Linked DNA regions of Oryctolagus cuniculus. The protein of the gene in region 3 purifies or fractionates together with the protein of the main gene of each other region. This does not show direct contact. Links are inferred from orthologs where the notes say so. Each region holds a gene or a part of one and is shown on either strand. Other genes may lie near its edges.

Evidence for each region.
Region 1: the proteins of PRKAG3 (region 3) and PFDN1 purify together in Homo sapiens (affinity purification with mass spectrometry; 3 studies listed by BioGRID and IntAct, counting the BioPlex papers as one, with this or other methods). This does not show direct contact. The link is inferred for Oryctolagus cuniculus from reciprocal best matches to the Homo sapiens genes PRKAG3 and PFDN1.
Region 2: the proteins of PRKAG3 (region 3) and PRKAA2 purify together in Homo sapiens (affinity purification with mass spectrometry; 3 studies listed by BioGRID and IntAct, counting the BioPlex papers as one, with this or other methods). This does not show direct contact. The link is inferred for Oryctolagus cuniculus from reciprocal best matches to the Homo sapiens genes PRKAG3 and PRKAA2.
Region 4: the proteins of PRKAG3 (region 3) and PRKAA1 purify together in Homo sapiens (affinity purification with mass spectrometry; 3 studies listed by BioGRID and IntAct, counting the BioPlex papers as one, with this or other methods). This does not show direct contact. The link is inferred for Oryctolagus cuniculus from reciprocal best matches to the Homo sapiens genes PRKAG3 and PRKAA1.
Region 5: the proteins of PRKAG3 (region 3) and PFDN6 purify together in Homo sapiens (affinity purification with mass spectrometry; 3 studies listed by BioGRID and IntAct, with this or other methods). This does not show direct contact. The link is inferred for Oryctolagus cuniculus from reciprocal best matches to the Homo sapiens genes PRKAG3 and PFDN6.
Region 6: the proteins of PRKAG3 (region 3) and PIP4P2 purify together in Homo sapiens (affinity purification with mass spectrometry; 3 studies listed by BioGRID and IntAct, with this or other methods). This does not show direct contact. The link is inferred for Oryctolagus cuniculus from reciprocal best matches to the Homo sapiens genes PRKAG3 and PIP4P2.

Annotation. Positions count from the first base shown.
Region 1 is NC_091437.1:27,961,788-27,965,953, forward strand, and holds the start of PFDN1 (prefoldin subunit 1), read right to left. Parts: upstream 2,801-4,166; 5' UTR 2,653-2,800; coding exon 2,620-2,652; intron 1-2,619. UniProt on the Homo sapiens protein: Binds specifically to cytosolic chaperonin (c-CPN) and transfers target proteins to it. Binds to nascent polypeptide chain and promotes folding in an environment in which there are many competing pathways for nonnative proteins.
Region 2 is NC_091438.1:116,460,579-116,464,078, forward strand, and holds part of PRKAA2 (5'-AMP-activated protein kinase catalytic subunit alpha-2), read right to left. Parts: coding exon 3,428-3,500; intron 2,958-3,427; coding exon 2,719-2,957; 3' UTR 1-2,718. UniProt on the Homo sapiens protein: Catalytic subunit of AMP-activated protein kinase (AMPK), an energy sensor protein kinase that plays a key role in regulating cellular energy metabolism.
Region 3 is NC_091434.1:20,619,485-20,622,045, reverse strand, and holds the end of PRKAG3 (5'-AMP-activated protein kinase subunit gamma-3), read right to left. Parts: intron 2,544-2,561; coding exon 2,506-2,543; intron 2,361-2,505; coding exon 2,214-2,360; intron 1,923-2,213; coding exon 1,806-1,922; 3' UTR 1,689-1,805; intron 1,324-1,688; 3' UTR 501-1,323; downstream 1-500. UniProt on the Homo sapiens protein: AMP/ATP-binding subunit of AMP-activated protein kinase (AMPK), an energy sensor protein kinase that plays a key role in regulating cellular energy metabolism.
Region 4 is NC_091445.1:66,041,618-66,045,117, forward strand, and holds part of PRKAA1 (5'-AMP-activated protein kinase catalytic subunit alpha-1), read right to left. Parts: intron 1,805-3,500; coding exon 1,663-1,804; intron 1-1,662. UniProt on the Homo sapiens protein: Catalytic subunit of AMP-activated protein kinase (AMPK), an energy sensor protein kinase that plays a key role in regulating cellular energy metabolism.
Region 5 is NC_091436.1:135,834,645-135,837,547, reverse strand, and holds PFDN6 (prefoldin subunit 6), read left to right. Parts: upstream 1-1,241; 5' UTR 1,242-1,499; coding exon 1,500-1,563; intron 1,564-1,764; coding exon 1,765-1,835; intron 1,836-1,915; coding exon 1,916-2,040; intron 2,041-2,211; coding exon 2,212-2,341; 3' UTR 2,342-2,403; downstream 2,404-2,903. Other genes in the region: WDR46 (WD repeat-containing protein 46), read right to left, coding at 9-121, 272-352, 465-677, 774-842. UniProt on the Homo sapiens protein: Binds specifically to cytosolic chaperonin (c-CPN) and transfers target proteins to it. Binds to nascent polypeptide chain and promotes folding in an environment in which there are many competing pathways for nonnative proteins.
Region 6 is NC_091437.1:116,416,130-116,419,629, forward strand, and holds part of PIP4P2 (type 2 phosphatidylinositol 4,5-bisphosphate 4-phosphatase), read right to left. Parts: intron 1,438-3,500; coding exon 1,347-1,437; intron 568-1,346; coding exon 424-567; 3' UTR 1-423. UniProt on the Homo sapiens protein: Catalyzes the hydrolysis of phosphatidylinositol-4,5-bisphosphate (PtdIns-4,5-P2) to phosphatidylinositol-4-phosphate (PtdIns-4-P).

The DNA.
Region 1 (4,166 bases), on a different chromosome or scaffold from region 3:
TCTAGCAAAGTTTCAGAAGATTTACTTTGGGGAAGAAGAGATGTCTATATTTCCTATTAAATACCACTCAAAAAAATAGCTTATGAAGACATTAGGAAATAAAACTGATACACGGAGCCAATGCTAGGGCACTGAAGGTTGAGCCTGCAGCAATGCCATCGAATTCTGGCTGTTCCACTTCTGATCCAGCTTCCTGCTAGCTAGGGTGCCTGAGAAGGCAGTGGAGGATGGCTCAAGTCGTTGGGCCCCTGCACCAACATGGGAGACCAGGAAGAAACTCCTGGCTTTGGCCTGGCCCAGCTCCACCATTGCAGACATCTAGGGAATCAATCAATGGATTCTCTCTCTGCTTCTGCCTCTCCCTCCCTTTCAAATAAATAAATCTTTAAAAAAGAAAAAAAAAAAAAACTGATATACGTTTCCTTGTTAATTGGTTGTCAAAATTATTCAACTTGTCTATAATTTTTTTTTTTTTTTGACAGGCAGAGTTAGAAAGTGAGAGAGACAGAGAGAAAGGCCTTCCTTCCGTGGGTTCACCCCCCAAATGGCCGCTGTGGCCGGTGTGCTGTGCCGATCCAAAGCCAGGAACCAGGTGCTTCCTCCTGGTCTCCCATGCGGGTGCAGGGCCTAAGCACTAGGGCCATCCTCCACTGCACTCCCGGGCCACAGCAGAGAGCTGGCCTGGAAGAGGGGCAACCGGGACAGAATCCGGCACCCCAACCGGGACTAGAACCCGTGGTGCCAGCGCCGCAGGCAGAGGATTAGCCTAGTGAGCCATGGCGCCGGCCTATAATTTTTTTCTTAGTTTGTATTAATTGTTTACTTGTTTCTTATCAATAAATTCAAAGAGTACTGGGAAGCAAGCCCTTTCACAGTTAATACTTTTGATAGTTCTTCATCAAAATCTTGGTTTCTGCAGCACCGGTTCTAGTCCCAGCTGCTCCTCTTTCAATCCAACTCTCTGCTATGTCCTGGGAAAGCAGCAGAAGATGGCCCAAGTCCTTGGGCCCCTGTACCCACGCAGGAGACCTGGAATAAGCTCCTAGCTCCTGGCTCCTGGCTTTGGATGGGTTCAGTTGCGGCCACTTACGGAGTGAACCAGTGGATGGAAGGCCTCTCTCTATCACTCCCTCTCACCTTCTGTAATTCTTCCTCTCAAAAAAAATATTTTTTAAAAAATCTTGGTTTAAGGCCAGCGCAGCGGCTCACTAGGCTAATCCTCCGCCTAGCGGCGCTGGCACACAAGGTTCTAGTCCCAGTTGGGGCGCCGGATTCTGTCCCGGTTGCCCCTCTTCCAGGCCAGCTCTCTGCTGTGGCCAGGGAGTGCAGTGGAGGATGGCCCAGGTGCTTGGGCCCTGCACCCCATGGGAGACCAGGAAAAGCATCTGGCTCCTGGCTCCTGCCACCGGATCAGCGCGGTGCGCCGGCCGCAGCGGCCATTGGAGGGTGAACCAACGGCAAAGGAAGACCTTTCTCTCTGTCTCTCTCTCACTGTCCACTCTGCCTGTCAAAAATAAATAAATAAATAAATAAAACTTGGTTTAAGTTTACACTTTTAATGGAAAAAAGGGTAAATTTTTCAGAAAACACAATTTTATTCTGAAATGTAAAATTTCAGGTATTTTCTGACTGTTCTATACAGTTTATGGAGGAAGATATAGCCAAGATATTAGAGAACAGCATGTAAAAGCAACTTACAAGTTTCAAGACAAGAGCAGCAGAAGAAACGAGACGCAAACACCTTTAAAACAGTAACAGCTTCATTTAATAAGAGCTATTTCAGCTGCCCTATTTCTAATGCAAAGACTGTTCAGATGTTTTCCATGAAGAACTTAAACTACTGGTCAAAAAAACCTGTAAGAGAACATGGTATTCTAATTCCACTCTTTGAGACTTCTCTAGAGTTGTTTCCCTTTCTAGAAAAGTAGATTTAAATCCTATGCAGTCCAGGGTCCTTTCCAATCCGCCCTCGCCCCCCAAAGCACACGTTTTGAGTCGGCAGTGGAGTTAGAATCCTGACTGCTCTCCGGTACCAAACATTTATAAGCAATTGTTTGAACAGAAGAAACGCAATTCCTTCTCAAAATGCTTTTATTTGGCAAACTCTGCTGCTCCTTTTTTTAGACAAGCCCTTCGCAAAAGGAGGGGAGGAGGAGAGGGGACAATGCCTTCCTGCGGCTTTTCAAGGTACAGGATGGGAATAAATGGCTTTAAAACAGGTGTTGGGTTTTTTCTCCCGAATTAAATGAGGCAGAATTACACACGCCTCAGCCCCAGGCAACCGCACCAAAGAGGTTTTAAGACGTTGTCTTCTGTTCTTACCATGAAACTGAGCCCCTGAAGGCTCCAAACGCAACGAAATAGCTCTGGGGCTCAGAACAAACGGGTAAGCTCGCACTCGGACCCGGCCCGGCTCAACTAGCTCCCACCCAGCAAGAGCCGCTAGCTGCCCACTCGGCTCAAGGAGGCCCCGCGGCGCCTCAGGCCTCCGGGAAAACATTCCCCAGTCCTCCAGCGCCTCTTTGCTCCCGCAAACATTCAAGCCTCACTCGATATTCCTGTCCACAGTCCCTTCGGCCTCCAAAGAGAAGCCTCTGCCTGCTCAAGACCCTCTTTTACCTTCTTCAACTCCAGATCCACGGGGGCCGCCATCTTGATGCACCCCTCTGCGCCTGCGCATTGGAAGAAGGCCGGAAAGGGGTGGGGGAAGGGCTGCGTTTTGATGGGTCGCCCTCCTAATGCGCCTGCGCCTGCGTGCCGCTAATCGGGTTTGTTTCCCTGTTGCGGAGCGGGTTACTCTAAATATTCAAGATTCCGATTCAATTTGTCTTCCCTTGCTGACCTATCAGGTCTGGCTTGTTCCTCCACATCTTCCAGACACAGCCCAACGTGTAGATTTCGCTTGTGGCTTTGAACAGTTTGATAGTTTTTCTACTCAATTGAGAAGTGCGTGGATCAGGTCAAACCCTCATCAGTTATTCAGTCCTACAGCTCGTCCTGTGCTGTCAGAGATGAGTAAGAAGGGACCCCAGACCTCAGGCCTAACCATATGGAGAAGACTATTAGAAGGCTTGGGTTTTCCACCAAAGAACTCATTTCTACTGAATGCTCCCAAAGACTTTCTAGATTAGAGATTCTCGAGGGAGGTGATATGTTTGATTTTTGGAAAAATTTTTGGAAAAATGTTTAGTACAGTGGCTAAGACATCAGCATCTCATACTGGAGTGTATGGGTTTGAATCCTGATTAGGCTTCCAATTCTGGTTTCCTGCTAATGAACACCCTGAAAGGCCTTAGTAATGGATCGAGTAATAGGGTTCCTGCCACCCATATGGCAGACCTGAATTGGCCAGCTTTGTTCTGGCCAATCCTGGCACTTGAGGACTTTTGTAGAATGAATCAGTGGAAGGAATCAAGATTTCTCTCTCTCCCTCTCTCTCTCTCTCTCTCTCTCTCTCTCTTTCAAATAATAGTAATAAATGTTAAATAATATAGATTCTTAGGTCTCATTCCAAGCTTATTCAGAATCTTTGAGGGCTTAAAAATTTGCAATTATCCTAACTCCCCATGACCTGGTGGCGCAAAAGTTGTCTACAGAACACATTTGGAGAACCTCTGCTATAAAAGGACCTAGCATTTGAAACAGGCAATTGGGTTTGAGTCCCGGCTGCTCCACTTGTGATCCACCTTTCTGCTGTGGCCTGGGAAAGCAGTAGAAGATGGCTTAACTCCTTGGGCCCCTGCACCCGTGTGGAGACCCAGGGGAGGCTCCCGGCTCCTGGCTTCAGATTTGCTCAGCTCTGGCCGTTGCGGTCATTTCCGGAGTGAACCAGCACATGGAAGACCTCTCTGGCTCTACCTCTCTCTGTAACTCTGTCTTTCAAATTAAAAAATAATAATTCTTTAAAAAAAAAAAAAAGAAAGAAAGAAAGGGACCAGCGCCGCGGCTCACTAGGCTAATCCTCCGCCTAGTGGCGCCGGCACAATGGGTTCTAGTCCCGGTCGGGGCGCCGGATTCTGTCCCAGTTGCCTCTCTTCCAGGCCAGCTCTCTGCTGTGGCCAGGGAGTGCAGTGGAGGATGGCCCAAGTCCTTGGGCCCTGCACCCCATGGGAGACCAGAAGTACCTGGCTCCTGCCTTCAGATCAGCACGGTGCGCTGGCCGCAGC
Region 2 (3,500 bases), on a different chromosome or scaffold from region 3:
ACTCCATCATGAACTCTTTTCCTCAGCAGAGTATCTCACAGGATGCACTATGAGGCATGCTGTTCTAGAACCACATGGAGTCTATTCCCATGACACATCTAAAGCTTTATCTATAGCCCAATAACAGAAGCTCTCCTGAAGTGTCTTGATTGCAGGACATTGTGCTTGGCTCAGACCTATCTATCATCCACAGTTCAGCAATATCTAAGACTGATATGTAGGAATTTTAGATTAGAAATTGATTCTTTCCCTTCTTGTGCTCACAGGTAACAAAGAGTCTACTATTGAGCTAGACAGGGTCTCCTAATGTCTCCTCTCTACAAACTATTTCACTAAACCATCTAGAGTCACAGAATATCTGTTTTAAAAAAATTTACAAATGGAATAAACAAAACTGCACCCTTTGGGTCTCCTACAAGTCAACAAGCAATTATCAATCTGTGGATGTTCACAAATTCTGGTAAGAATGAGAAAAAAATTAATAAATTTTTAACTCTCAAAACATATGATAATCATCCATATAAATTTGATGTGAATAAGTTTCTATTATCTGGCTCATTAGAATAACAAAACTAAAATGCCACTGGATTATTTCTCATTGTTTCTCTGCCTTCAAAATTGTGGACTTTGCTACTGGGGAAAAGGAATCTGTTTAGTTCCTTATTTCTAAGATCTTTCCATTCATATTCAGGCAAAGACTGAATGGTTCTGTTTTTCTCAAAAGAGGCCTGTACACATTTGGAGAAGCCAAAATGATGCCATTTAGCAGACTGAATATCAAACTAATACAGGACTACTTACCCACCTAAAACAGTAAATGAAACAACAGCCTACTGGTGCCACAAGATGGCAATGTTTCAAAGGTTAAACTTCAGTACTATCTCAAACTCCAGACCATCCCGCTCCCCAGACTGGTGAACAAGGATCCCTTTTATTTTGACATTAACAAGCCCAACTTACAAGTTACTTAACAACATTTTTAAGAGACCTAAAAACAATGTGATACAATGCAAACTCAGAACTTAAAAAAACATTCCAAGACAGACATTCTTGTCTTTGATAAGCACGGGAGAAACGTTTTCTAACATCTGCTTCTTGGTAGAAAATATCCTATTTTTGGCAAAGAGAAATTTGTCAAGGCAATGTCATCACTTTGTTTTGTTTCGTTTTCAAGAGCTTAATATTTTTTAGAGTAAGTCATGTGAATGAGATTGTTAATTATAACATATTAAATACAATAAATGAATAAATACAATTTAGATAAATTACACATAATTTAAAAATTAAATATTTTTAAAACAAAATATAATAAATGAGTTATTATCTACCCTGATATATAGTTTTCTTTTTTAATCTTAAAAATAACCTGCATGAAACAAAACAGCAAAAAATGTTTGGTTTTTCTGAAAAGCACTAGTATGTGAATACATATATGTATATATGTAAACAACACATACATTTATTCAAGAGAGAACTTTTCTCAATGTTTAAGGCTTCTCTGCCATATCAGGTTCAACAGTGAAGGTCATGGCCTCTCAAGTTTTGGGAGTACATAAAAGCCCTTGGGGCCAGAATGGTGTTTTCAAACTGAATGGCCAGCAACCAAGAAAGGTAGTGGGAAAGACTCAAAAGCTAAGTTAATGGACCACTGAGGATCAAACAATGAGCAAAGACAATGGTGATTAGTTGGGTTAAGGAGGTGACAGCGATTAGAAACTTAAACTTTAAATGAAGAATTTGCAATGTGAAATGCAAGAAGACCTTCACCTCCTTAACTCCCCCTAATCCCCATCTCATACATACAAAATAAAGGATCAAAAATAAGAGTTCACTTTTAAGGGATCATTGATACGTTGCTTTGTTTCATTTAACTGTCTACTATTGTATTATTCTTTGTTAAGTGCAAAAACATAAAACAAGCCAAAACAAATTTGAGAAAAGTAGGTTTTGAAGGCGTATTTTAAAAGGACATGTTTATAGAAAAGATAAAAATTGTTGCAATTCCAGATGATTTGTTCCAATACCAAATCGAACCCTGAAAGCTCTTAGGCTAAAACCTATTATTTAGGGAAATCTCAAGATAAAGTCCTGAGGTTTCTATAACTGTTTATAAGGTACCTGGAAATCGTGGTTACCTATTACAGGACCACAGCCCTTCTGGTGAGCACTAGGCAATATTTGCAAAAACTTGGCTTCTGAAATTTGGGAGGGCAAGTTTTTAAGAATTCACCATTTATATAATATCTAACTAGTGGTTGTGTTTTAAATCTTGTTCAAGAAAACTGGGGTTGTATAAACACTGCTTAAAGCCTACTGAAATTTAGGAAGCAAATGTGACTGACCTACAATAAAGAGTGAAGCAGGGAGGTATTGACAAACCCCTCTCATGTTGAGAGGGTTCCTCAGTGAGTTGAGTAAATCACCTGAAGTGAACCCACACCTGTGAATTAACAATCTTCATTGATGTCCAATAGTTAAAGACACTGCCTATGTGATTTTATCACAGGCACGTTAGAATTACAGAGTTCTACAGGTAAATAAAATGTCAGACATTTTTGTTTTCAATAATTTCAATGGCATCGAGTGTCCCCTGGAAATATTCATGTCTCTTAATTAGTATTGCAGATATGTGACATCCAGAAGTAAGATAATAATTTAAAGAATATATCTCATCTTTCACAGTGCAGTAACAGAAAGATAGAAACCAGGGACAGATCATCAACGTGCTAAAGTAGTGATCAGACTGGCACACATTTCAAAAAAATCCATGGTGTGACTGCCCAGGCGAGGTGAAACTGAAGACAATGTGCTTCCTGTCAAAGAGCCAGTGAGAGAGCCAGAAAGCGAATGACTCTCTGCAGTGGTAGAATCAAAACTTGATCTTGGCCTGTGTAAGCCAGCCGCAGAGCAGGAGCGCTGAGGTGTTGAGGAACCAGACCTCTGTTCCACTACCTCATCTGGAAAGGACAAAAGAACAATTCATACATAAATTCTATTTGCCCAAGTCCTCTACGAAATTGCTATATTCAGGAGATTATATAAACATATTGGAACAAAGGCAGCTTAGTAATAAATGTCATGTTCAGTGTTTCAGGAGCAGAGGTGGTAATAGCTCTTTCCTCCTAATCCATCACTAATCAATCACAACACTTCCACATGGTCAAAATATGATCCCTAAATCCTTCTCGACAAAATATGTGGTATTAATATTGAAATCAAACTGATAGCCCCACATTTGAAGAAAACATATCATTGACAACTTAATATCTTCCATTATATCAAAAAATAATTTCACTTAATATTTTGTCTAGATTACTTAAAAACCCGTCAATATTTACCCACCATGTCTTTGAGATGATTTTAAAATCTGATCAACTAGTGCCAAGTTTTACTTTCTTAAGAGTTTATACCTGCACAGCTTCCTTACCATCAATGCTTTTAAAGTCCAAAAGATAGCTTCTATTATCAACCAGGTAAAGTTGCAAGCTCATTTTCACATA
Region 3 (2,561 bases):
CTGATGGCTAAGGAGCAAAGTCTAGCACCACATAAAGCACCCCTCTCTCCCAATCTTGTTTTTTTTTTTTTTTTTTTTTTTTTTTTTTTTTTGACAGGCAGAGTGGACAGTGAGAGAGAGAGAGACAGAGAGAAAGGTCTTCCTTTGCCGTTGGTTCACCCTCCAATGGCCGCCGCGGCCGGCGCGCTGACGGCCGGCGCACCGCGCTGATCCGATGGCAGGAGCCAGGAGCCAGGTGCTTTTCCTGGTCTCCCATGGGGTGCAGGGCCCAAGCACCTGGGCCATCCTCCACTGCACTCCCTGGCCACAGCAGAGAGCTGGCCTGGAAGAGGGGCAACCGGGACAGAATCCGGCGCCCCGACCGGGACTAGAACCCGGTGTGCCGGCGCCGCTAGGCGGAGGATTAGCCTAGTGAGCCGTGGTGCCGGCCCTCTCTCCCGATCTTAACCCCGAATCGAAATGGGGTACACAGTGGAGATCAGGTTCACGGTAGAAATGAGTCTCGGTGTTAGACAAGTTATATTTCTCACAGCTTAGAGTTGGTAGATGGAGTGCTTCCTGCCATAGACATAGGTAGTTATGGTTTTGTTATAAACAAAAGGTAAAAAAGGAATTTTGGTGGAATACACTTTGGGTACAAAGGAAATGCCACTTGCAGCTTTTGCCGACTGCAGATTTTCGTTGGCGTTTTTGAATTCAGACAGCACAGGGATCTTGCCACAAGCTCAGGTTAGATGACTGTGCCATTTTGAGTGAGCCCTACTAAGAGCCGGTTTCGGGGATTGTTCTTTTTGCTTTTTCCGTTGCTTGTTCTCAGGGATCCGAATACAAGGCCACCCACCAGCAGGGACTGGCAGCCCTGCTCGCTGCGGAGAGCTAAGGGCTTTCTGGGGAAGCGCGGAGGGAGGACCCCACTCCGCAGGCAGCTCTGTAGTAACTGTGGCTCCGTGGTGACTCCCAGCAGCCCTGGAGCGACAATGCCGGGAGAGTCCGAGGACGGTGGTGAAGTTAGCCCCTGAATGACTAGCTGGGACTCCCAGGGGCTGGGGGTGTGAGTAGGGGGCAATCCCGAAGCCGAGGGACCTGGAGCCCCTGACTGACCCCATGGGCTGCAGGCTCACTGCTGCCCCCTAGGGCCAGTCCTGACCCAGGTGAGGGAAGGAATCCCGGCGGTCATGGAGCACAGGTGTCCCTGGGGCCATCCCAGAGGGTTGGTGCAGGGGCCTCCAGGCTTAGCTGTTCTCTTTCATCTCATCGTCCCATGGTGCAGTGGCTGCGCCCAAGGGCTTCTGGGAGCACAGGCAGGGAAAGGGCTGGAGACATCTGTGAGGGAGACAGAAGCAAAGACGGTGACCAGGCAAGGAGGGGGAGCTGCCTCCTACTGGGGAGTCCTGGGTGGAATTCATGCATGGAGATTCCACTCAGCAAGGGTTTGTTAGCTTGCTCCCTTGTCATGGATCTCCCAGCAGATGCTGTATTGCCAGCGAGACAGCGGGGACTCCATCCCAGGGCCCCTGAAATCCTTGTCTTTAGCTCATCCTCTGTCCCCTCACCCCCTCCCGGGAAGGCCTCCAGGACTTCGGCTGAGCATGGGACAAAGTGGTGGCTGGTGAGTTTCCATGGGGGCCACATGGAGTGGGCCCCAATCTGAGATCTGAGAGCCCAGAAAGACCCAGGGTGCAGCCTACCTGAACCAGACAGAGCTGAGCCAGCAAACGGGTGGGGAAGACGAAGGCCGAGTTCCCCCGGCTCCCTTCATTGGCTTCAGGTGCAGAAGGTGGCCCGGGAGGGAGGACTCAGTGTTCTCAGGCACCGAGGGCGTCGATGCCAGCAGGGCTGAGCACCAGCGCCTGCAGAATGTCGGAGAGGGAGACCACGCCCAGGAGATGCTGGGTCTCATCCACTAGCACCAGCCGGTGCACCTGTGGGCAGACCGTGCTCAGTGAGGGCGCAGAGCCAGGGGACCATGGCCATGGAAGAGGTCGGACCCAAGAAACAGGGTGAGGAAGTTGACGGGGCTGGGGACAGGGACGAGAGGGGATCTCCCAGGAAGCAGGCAGCCATGCAAGCTGGCTGTGGCCCTTGGCACCAGGGCCCCGTGGTCATGAAAAGAGTTGTCGGGAAGTGGAAGGACGGAGCAGGTGCACAGCGTACAGGAATAGAAGAACAGAGCTGTGTGGGGGTGGGGAGGCGCCTGGAGGCGCATGGGGTACCTGTTCCCGTGCAATCCTGTCGATGACTTCCCCCAGGGTCTCGTGGGGCTGGCAGGAGAGGACCCCCTCCAGGCACACTGTCCTCTGCCTCAGGGCTTCCCCCACACTCATGTCCAGGTGGTTGTAGGTTTGCTGGGCAGCCAGGTGCTGGGGTAGGGAACAAAGGGGGGCTCTTGGTCACTCCCCCGTTCAGGCTCCAGCCCCCCTCAGAAATGTCCCCCCATGTCTACCAAGTTCCCCTACTGGTGCTCACACCACCACCTCCCCCCCCCAGCTCCCCATCCACACTTACGATCACATCAAAGCGGGAGTAGAGGCCCACGACCTGACCTGCAGTAGGGGAGGGGC
Region 4 (3,500 bases), on a different chromosome or scaffold from region 3:
GTCATGAGAAATTAAGATGGTTCAGACCAGTTTGATGGAAATAAAGAAACTCAGAAATAGTCAAATCCTAGATATATTTTAAAGGATAAAATGGAACAGATGGTAGGAAGTGGGAGAAATAGGGAAATTAAGGATGGTTCCTAAGTTTTTCCTCTTGGTAACTGGCTATTAATGGAGATGGTGAAAACTATGGGAAGAGCAGGTTTAAGAGGGTAACAGAGTTCAGCTTTGGCCACATAGGGTTTGAAATGCCTCACATACATCCAAATGGAGCTGTAAAATCAGCAGTGAGCTTGTGAGTCTAGAGTTTAGAAGTTTCAAAGCAGGATATACACATTTAGGGAACAGTAGCATACAGATGTTACTTAATACCATCTCAACATGAGGCCAGCGTACTGTGGCATAGCAGATAAAGCTGCCACCTGCAGTGCTGGAATTCCATATATGTGCTGGTTCAAGTCCCAGCTGCTCCACTTCCCATCCAGCTTTCTGTTATGGCCTGGGAAAGCAGTAGAAGATGGCCCAAGACCTTGGGCCCCATACCCACGAGAGACTCGAAGGAACTCCTGCTCCTGGCTTCAGATTGGCCCAGCTCCAGCCAATGCAGCCATTTGGGGAGTAAACCAGTGGACGAGAGACCTCTCTCTTTCTGCCTTTCAAATAAATTTTATATATATATATATATATATATATATATATATATATATATGCCAGCATTGTGGTGCAACAAGTTAAACAGCTGCTTACAATGCTGGCATCCTATATTGGAGTGCTTGGGTTCAAGTAACAGCTGTTCCACTTCCAAACCAGCTCCCTTTTAATGTGCCCAGGAAAGCTACAGATGATGGTCCAAGTACTTGGGCCCCTGCTCCCCAGGTCAGAGACCTGGATGGAGTTCCAGGCTCCTGGCAATGGCCTGAACCAACCCTGACTCTTGCAGCTATTTGGGCAGTAAACCAGCAGATAGAAGATTTTTTCTCTCTCTCTCTCTTACTGTTTCTTCCTATCTCTGTTGTTTTGCCTTTCAAATAAACAAATCCTTAAAAATAACATATACCTCAACAAATGAGAAGAGGTGACAGTGAAACAAATTTTGAGTCATCCAGTTCATTAGAAAAGGCTGTGAGGTTTCAAATTATAGCTTGCATAACAAAGCAGGAAGTGAATAGTAAATTTATTACCTGTAGGTGCTACAACTGGTAGCAATACAATAGAAGGGTTACTGGATTACTGCCCTTTTCAAATAATAGATTCCTATAGTTTTGTTATATGTATGATCAGATATAAATAGGATGAGGGGAAATCTTTTTCACTGCATTGTCATTAGTGAGGCTAAGTGACATTATGTGGAAATTTAGGTTGTTTTTACTAGCAAATCATTGCTGGTTCAATAGCAATAGGGGCATGGAACACTGTCAGTCAGAAGGACATCTGTCCAGAAGATGAAAGAATAAGAAGGATAATAGCTAAGAAGCACAAGGTCAAAACACAAAGACAGGCTTAACTGACCAAACAGGGTTAGAAAAAATACATGAGCAGGAAGAAACTTTGCAAAACCCTCAGGAAACAGAAATATCAGTAATATTTCTCAGAGGAAGATGAAGTAGATTAACAAAAGTGATAAAAAGATGACTGAACCATGTTTAATGTGAACAAGCTTACAATTTAATTATATGAGGATGCCTGAAAAGCTTGAGGTTCTGAATTTCTCTGCGGATTTTTCCTACCACATCCAGGCTTCGAATTTTCTGTCGATTGAGTATCTTCACGGCAACTTTATGCCCAGTCAATTCATGTTTGCCAACTGTAAGAGAAATAATTTTAATAAATATAAGGCTTGACTAATAATATATTTAGATCTATTCTAAGAGTAGTAAGGTTAGCATTCTCAGAAAATATGTGAACAGATTTAAGTTCTTTTCTCTTCTGCCCAATATTTGCCCTGCATGTTCAAATGTTTCAGAATGAATCTGAATGAAAAATACTAAGAAAACGGTAAAAGTGATCTCTTATAGAAGGGAAAGCTAGAAGGCTAAGACAAGAAAGAAAAAGAAAAGAGACTTTCTTTTTGCTGTATATATTTTTGTACTTTAAAATTACCATACATATAAATTGAACTACTAAGGGGATATACAGTTCTATAGTCTTTAACAGGTGTAGAAATTGATGTAACCACCATTATACTAGGATATACAGCAGTTCCATCATTCCAAAAAACTCCATCATGACAGACTTTAGTTTAATCCTGTTTGAAGGTACTTAATAGATGTTTGACTTGGCAAGTATAAAAACTTTAACCTTCTATTTACTCATTTGTAAAAATAAGAATACCACATACTCCATAACAGTGACTGTGATGAATACATGAAGTAGTGTTTGTAAGGCACTTTCCAGAATGCCTGCCACACAGTGAATGATCAATAAATAAATGTTAGCTACTACTAATTTTTTTAAAAGATTTATTTATTTGGAAAGCCGAGTTACAGAGAGGCAGAAGCAAAGAGAGAAGCCTTCCATCCACTGGTTCACTCCCCAAATGGCCACAACAGCTGAGGCTGGGCCGATCTGAAGCCAGTTTCTTCTTCTGGGTCTCCCACACAGGTGCAGGGACCCAAGTACTTGGGCCATCTTCCACTGCTTTCCCAGGCACATTAGCAGGAAGCTGGATCAGAAGTGGAGCAGCCAGTACTTAAACCAGTGCCAATAAGGGATGCCGGTGTCAGAGGCAGCAGCTTCACCCACTACACCACAGCACTGGCCCCTAGCTACTACTAGTTAGGGTTATTGATTTTCTGTTGTTCCTAGAACTGAATTATCTGCTTTAATATCTGAACAGCCAGTCTTATCTCAGTTCTTTGATCTGCACTCTTTTAGATTCTAAAGCATTCTTTTATGCAGACATATAAGTACTACATAAATAATACCATCATTTTCATGCATCTAGTTCCCATTCCCACAAGTTTCATTCTCACCAACCTGCTCTACCACCACCACCATTGCTGAGATTTCCAACTTCCAAAGTTCAACCAATTTCCTGACTTTAGTTAAAGTTCAACTGATTATTCTTAGGCATATGTGTATTTACTTATAGCACCACTCCCTGACAGTGACTTTATCTATTACGTAAAAACTACAAGAATACTTCTTTGATCATAGAAAAGTTAGAGGGGGAAAAAAAACACAGGTCATTTGACTTACAAATTATAATTTTTACAATATAAAATGTAGTCGATCTATAAAACATAATGTAATTAAGGTATACAGCTCACTAGTTAGTATTTCTGACATACCCAATTTGGATCCAAACATGCTCTCTCACCAGCCCTGAAGATGAGTATTAGCAACATTTTACAGGAAATTGAAGTTCAGCAAAATGATATAACTTGCCCAAAGGTACACAGCTAATGAGTGGCAAAGCCAAAATTTCAACCTAAGTCTGACTCAAAATTAGTGAAATGTGATAAATGTTTCAAGAAAGGTAGTTCTGAAGACACTGTATA
Region 5 (2,903 bases), on a different chromosome or scaffold from region 3:
CCACTCACCCAGGCTCCTCAGCAAGCAGCAACTCTGAGCGGGCAGCTTGGACGCTGGTTTCCTCTTCCTCAGCTTCAGCTGCCTCAAGTCTGCTGCGCGTCTTGGACTTGGAAGGCGGCAGCTACAACAGCGTTGGGAGTGGAGGAGGAGGAGGAGGAGGAGCGGAGGGAGAACACGGAGAATCACAGCAGAGCCACCGGGCCCCACCTCCATCCTTCTCACCCAGGCGCTCCCAGCCTCCAGTCCTTCCCCACCGTCCAGCGATTCTCACCTTTTTAGATTTGTCAATGCGACGGAACTTCCGGGCTGCCTCCACCGGGACGGGGGCGGGGCCCGGGAAGGGGTCCTGGGCCTGGGGCAGAGAGGAGGCAGTCAGCTCACAGCTTCGGGCTGACCCCCCAACCCTTTCACTCGCAAAGCACAGAGAAACCTGCCCCCGCCACCCTGCCGCGGTGCAGGCTCACCCCAGACAAGCTCCGCTGGGGCTCCGGCTTCTTCGGCCCTCGAGACTTCCTCGCGACCAGGGTCTTCTTGGAGATGCGCGACTTCTTTGTGACCTGAGTGTTCTTTGGTCTCTGGGGCCGGAGCTCCCGGTTCCGCTTCTTCTTAGGAGGCGGGCCTGGAGAGGCGCCGGTGGCGCTCGGAGTGGTGTCCACTTCCCAGTATCGCCGCGGTTTCTACGGGCAGATCAGGAGCCCTGGAACTCCGCGGCCCACGTCCCGCCCCCGAACCCCACAGCTAAAACCTCCCTGCCCGTCCAGAGAAGCCTGTACCTTCCTCTTGGCCTGAGGTTTGTCCTTCTTGGGTGGGGCATCCTGACTGGCCTTTGGGACTGTCTCCATCTCGCCCACTGGAACAACGATCCACGTGCAAATCTCTCAGCTGTCCCACAGTCGGCTTAGACTCTCCCGGAAGTCCTCTGTTCCGCCTCAGCCAATCAGCATCGTTCCAGGGCTGAAGTCTTGAGCACGCCATCTTGAGTGAGGGCACACTCTCCTTTAAGGGGCGGGGCGTGCTGTGGCATCTCCCTCGGGCGCCGCAGCTTATACCCGAGGAATGGGGAAAAAAAGTCAAGTCCGGGCCAGAAACCAGTAACAGAATAGTCTTTTTCCGGATTAACTTCTCTGTCTTGCCTAAAACCTTCTGAGTCCAGTCATTTCAGCCGAATGCCGCTTATTAAAAATGTTAGAACTACATTTCCCGACATGCAACCTGGAGGCAACTTCCGGATTGATTTTCCCAGCATTCCATGTTTACTTCCGGGTTGATTAATACAGAAGGGAGAACGTGAGTAGGTTAGGGTACCGTTTCAGGGGTTTTGCGTTTCTTTTCGTCCTGCACCCACTGGGGTCGGGTCGATTCGACTTCCCGGACAGGGAGAGGCCGCGGTGCCCCGAAGGACTGCCTCTCAAGAGGACTGTCATTTCCGTCGGCCCGACCAGAAAGGGGAGCTCGACCCCAGCGCCCCTCTCCCGTTCCCGCAGGCTTTCATCCCCGCCATGGCCGAGCTGATCCAGAAGAAGCTGCAGGGAGAAGTGGAGAAGTATCAACAGCTACAGAAGGGTAAGGGACCGGGTGGGCGTAGTCTCGCCGCAGCCCGCAGACTAGCCGAAACGAGCTCTCCGCCCCAGCCGGCCCGCTCCTTCCCCGCCTGTATACTCGCCCCTTCTTCCCGGTCTGCTTCCTCACATCCGCCTTCTGGGCCAGGACTGTGGGAGCCCGTGGCACTCTTGGTGTCCCACTCACGTCTCCCTTCCTCCCTAGACTTGAGTAAATCCATGTCAGGGAGGCAGAAGCTTGAAGCCCAACTAACGGAAAACAACATCGTGAAGGAGGTGAGGGGCCGGGAGTTGTGGGGGCGGAGCAGCCTGGACCGGCTGCGGTTCTGATCAGACCCGTCCCGCTCGCCCACCAGGAACTGGCTCTGCTGGACGGGTCCAACGTGGTCTTTAAACTGCTGGGGCCGGTGCTGGTTAAGCAGGAGCTGGGGGAGGCGCGGGCCACGGTGGGGAAGAGGCTGGACTACATCACAGCTGAAATGTGAGTTTTTGTCCCACTGCCCTGGCTGTCGGCCGGCGGGTGCTGGGGACCTGAGTGGATTGCCCTTCGGAGCAGCCCACGGAAGCCTCCCCTTTTAACGCGGCCTGCCCCTCCCCCTAGCAAGTCCCTCTAACTTCTCCCTGTCTTCTCTGGCCCCTGGCCTCTCCTCAGTAAGCGATACGAATCCCAGCTCCGGGACCTGGAACGGCAGTCAGAGCAGCAGAGGGAGACCCTGGCCCAGCTGCAGCAGGAGTTCCAGCGGGCCCAGGCGGCCAAGGCAGGGGCTCCCGGGAAGGCCTGACCTCGGGGCGGGGCGGGGTGGGATGGGCCACTCTAAGTACCTAATAAAATGTAAACACCTGGCTCTGTTGTCCTGCTTGTCTGTTCCCCCGGCCTCCATCACCTGACCCACACACCACACACCACTGTTACTCCCTCAAGCCCACATTCCAGCACCTGCAGTCTCTGGAACTAAACTCTAAAATGTCTCAAAGCTGCTCCTCACCTGTACTCGTATGTACAGCCCTTAATTCTCCGTTATTTTCCTAAGACACGGCCTTTTAGGAAACACAAGGACATTTACAACCTAAGCATATTGTTGGGAGTGTCGTTTAAATTGAAGAACTCAGAATTCTCTGAGAACCCAGGATGAAATGTGACTCCTCCCCTTGCTGTGAATACAAGTGCTCCGTAGGGCTCATGGGAAAATGGAAATAAAAGGTTGGGTTACAGCAGGTGGGGGCTTTTGACTCTGCTTCTCAATAAAAATATTTCCATGCAAGACATTTTGAATCATGCATTTTCCATGTACTCTTTGAAGACCCATCACATGCATGACTCCAAAGCTTCTGTACCAAAATAAC
Region 6 (3,500 bases), on a different chromosome or scaffold from region 3:
GCACATTGTTTAGATTTTAAAGCAAGCAATTTTGATGGCATTTAATTAAAATGTAAGTATAAATGTGAACCTATTGAAACATTCATTAACAATTCTTGGGAATACTCAACAACAAGTAATGGAATAACTAAAAAATAATGAAAGCATGAGACTATATGCACTGTTTGGTGACAAATCTGAAAATATCTTTAAGAGATTTTAAAGAACATAAAAACACAGCTTTATTATTCCAAATTTGAAAACCTAGCAGCAAAACAATCTATTTGCATATAATGTAGTGCAATGAGCATTTGTTCATAAAAGACTCTGAAAGTCTTGAAACTATTATACATAAACCAGAATGGAATCCATTAGGATAAATGATTTGAAGATGTCCAGAGTAGCTAGACACTCTCACCTGTTATCACTGAATCCTAAGCAAGCTTATGCAAAACTGTGTTCTGGATAGCTGACTCTTATGACTCCCCAGTAACAAGCTCTGATAAGGCAGATCAGACCTAGAAGATAAGCAATTGCCCAAGAAACATAGGTTGCACGAAATCGCCTTGCAAAGTCTTGGGTGCCAACCTAAAACAAAAAGCAATATGAAAACACAATATTAGAAACTTGAAGAAAATACCCACTTAGAGAACATGTTTTGGTTTATATGCAATTTATATGAACTAGATTCCCAGAGAGAATCCACAAAGTCTTTATAAAACCCGAGTAGGTTTAACATCTGCTGACTAAAACTGACAGATGATATTGCTACCTATATTTACAATCAGTTTTATGAAGTAAACAAAAAGGCACATTAAAATGTTATCGCTAAAGTGTATCTAATCTGTGTAACTCCTAACTATCCTGTGACACAACCTGCTACTAACCTGGGACCAGGTGGACTAACTAAGGAACAAAGAGCACAGAAAGTAAATGGCAGCAAAATGGGACAATTCCTTCCTCTTCCCTTGCATAATCCCCACGGCAACTGTTTGGCTTCCGTCTCCCCTAAAAATAAGCCAATCCTCACATCAGTAATAAATCTCTGCTTGGCTTAAGGAGAAAAAGATACTCCATGGCCACATAATCAAAACAAATGGGCTTTAGTTAAATGGATGGTAAAGTCCCCAATGTCAAGGACTTTTCAGACTTTTCAAGGGGTTCAAAGACACCATTTCATTTGGACGACCAGGCTCCATTTGAAAAACAGGCCTTGGATTGGGTTTCTGATGACCCATGATCCTTCAGAAGCTTCTGGGCCTGGCACGCCAGTGTGCAAGCCTTTTCAGGGACCATTGGTCAGGGACCAGACCTCACCATTATTGATAGTTAAGGGGAAAGAATTCAAATGGTAAAGTAATACTCACAGTTAATCCAACTCCAATGAAAATACAAATCATTCCAATAGTAATGTATGCACAGCAGCGTCTTCGTGGAAGTGCACTACCCACGGAGGAGCTGCAAATTCATGAAAGCAACAGAGAACTTAAGTATTTACATACAGATTATCCATTTCATCTTGGAGTCCTCCAGGGTCTTAGTAACATTATTTTAAATATTTTCATTTATTTCTTGGGCTTGATACACAAAAATATGCATAAAATGTTATTTGTAATGAGTTATGAAATAATAACTGGTGAACTTGTGGTATTATTGTGACTTTAAACAAAATTCAAGCCTTAGTCATTGACAACATCCACAAAAAATGTCCTATGTTCTCTAATGATCCTGTAAGATAATAATATGTTCCCAAGAAAATCACTCACAGAATGAAAAATCAGTGCTAGCTTACATATAGCATTTGATTTTCTTTTTACAGATATAATAGTATATGTTTGGTGTAGAAAATTTGGAAAATAAACTGATAGAAAGGAAAAGTAAAATTATGTGTAATCCCACCATCACAAAATAATAACTCAACATTTTGGCATATAAATTTCTTATAACTTACTAATATATAGCATGAGCACTTTTCTATGTCATTAAGTATTCTCAAACTGGAGTTCTGAAGATGAATATAAGATAATTAACCAAATTCCTACTGTTGTGCACTTAGAATGCTTTGATTATTACAAATAAGGCCAGCTAAATATAATTTAAAAGCATTACAATGGAGGCAGGCATTTGGTTTAGCACTGAAACTGCCAGTTGAGGACCTTGCATCCCATATATATATATATATATATATATATATATATATATATATAATTTGACAGGTAGAGTTACAGACAGTGAGAGAGAGAGACAGAAAGAAAGGTCTTCCTTCTGTTGGTTTACTCCCCAAATGGCCACTGTGGCTGGTGCCACGCCAATCTGAAGCCAGGAGCCAGGTGCTTCTTCCTGGTCTCCCATGTGGGTGCAGGGGCCCAAGCACCTGGGCCATCCTCCACCGCCCTCCCGGGCCACAGCAGAAAGCTGGACTGGAAGAGGAGCAACCGGGACTAGAACTCGGCACCCACATGGGATGCCGGCACCGTAGGCGGAGGATTAACCAAGTGAGCCACGGTGCCGACCCCCCTTGCATCCCTTATTACAGTGCCTGAATTTGGGACTTGGGTCTATTCCTGATCCCATATTTCTGCCACTGGAGCAGCAGATATTGACTAAATAGCTGGGTCTTTGCCACCTGCATGGGAGACCTAAACTGAGTTCCAAGCTCCTGGCTTTGGCCGCCAGCTTGGGATCCTTGCAAGTATTTGAGGAGTGAACCAGGGAATGGAAGCACTCTTTTCTGTCCTCTGTCTCTCACCCCCACCCCCACATTCTATCGATCCACTCATACATACTTATTTTAAAATAAAATAAAATATTGCTTATTTTTCATCATTTTCTTAAAATATTTTAGGGGCTGGCACTGTGGCATTACAGGTTAAGTCACTGCCTGAAACGCTGGCATCCATATCAGAGCACTGACCTTACAGTATTGTTTGTACCTTGTGATATGTCTGAAACATTTAATACTAAATTAATTTTTTAAGAATAGGTCTGGCGTTGTCTCACAGTGGGTTAAGCCACACTCCCTGTGACACCAGTGTCCCACACGAGCACTGGTTTGAGTCCTGCCTACTCAAGTCCCAGCTGTTCCGCTTCTGCTCCAGCTCTCTGGTAATGCACCAGGAAAGGCAGTGGAGGACTTGGGCCCTACCACCCACGGGGGAGACCTGAATACAGTTCCAGGTTCCTGGTTTGGGCCTGACCCAATCCTGGCTGTTGAGGCCATTGGGGGAGTGAACCAGCAGATGGGAGATTTCTCTCTTCATCTCTCTGTCTCTCTGTGTGTCACTCTGCCTTTCCAATAAGTCTTTTTACAAAGACTTTTGCTTTAGAATTATAATTACAAAGTTATTATAATTACAAAGTTAAGGAGGTTAGTCTTTTATTTTCTTTTATAGATTTATTTATTTACTTGAAAGTCAGAAAGAGAGAGGTCTTCCATCTACTGGTTGACTTTCCAGTTGGTTACAACGGCCAGAGCTGTGCAGATCCAAAGCCAGGACCCAGGAGCTTCTTCTGGGTCTCCC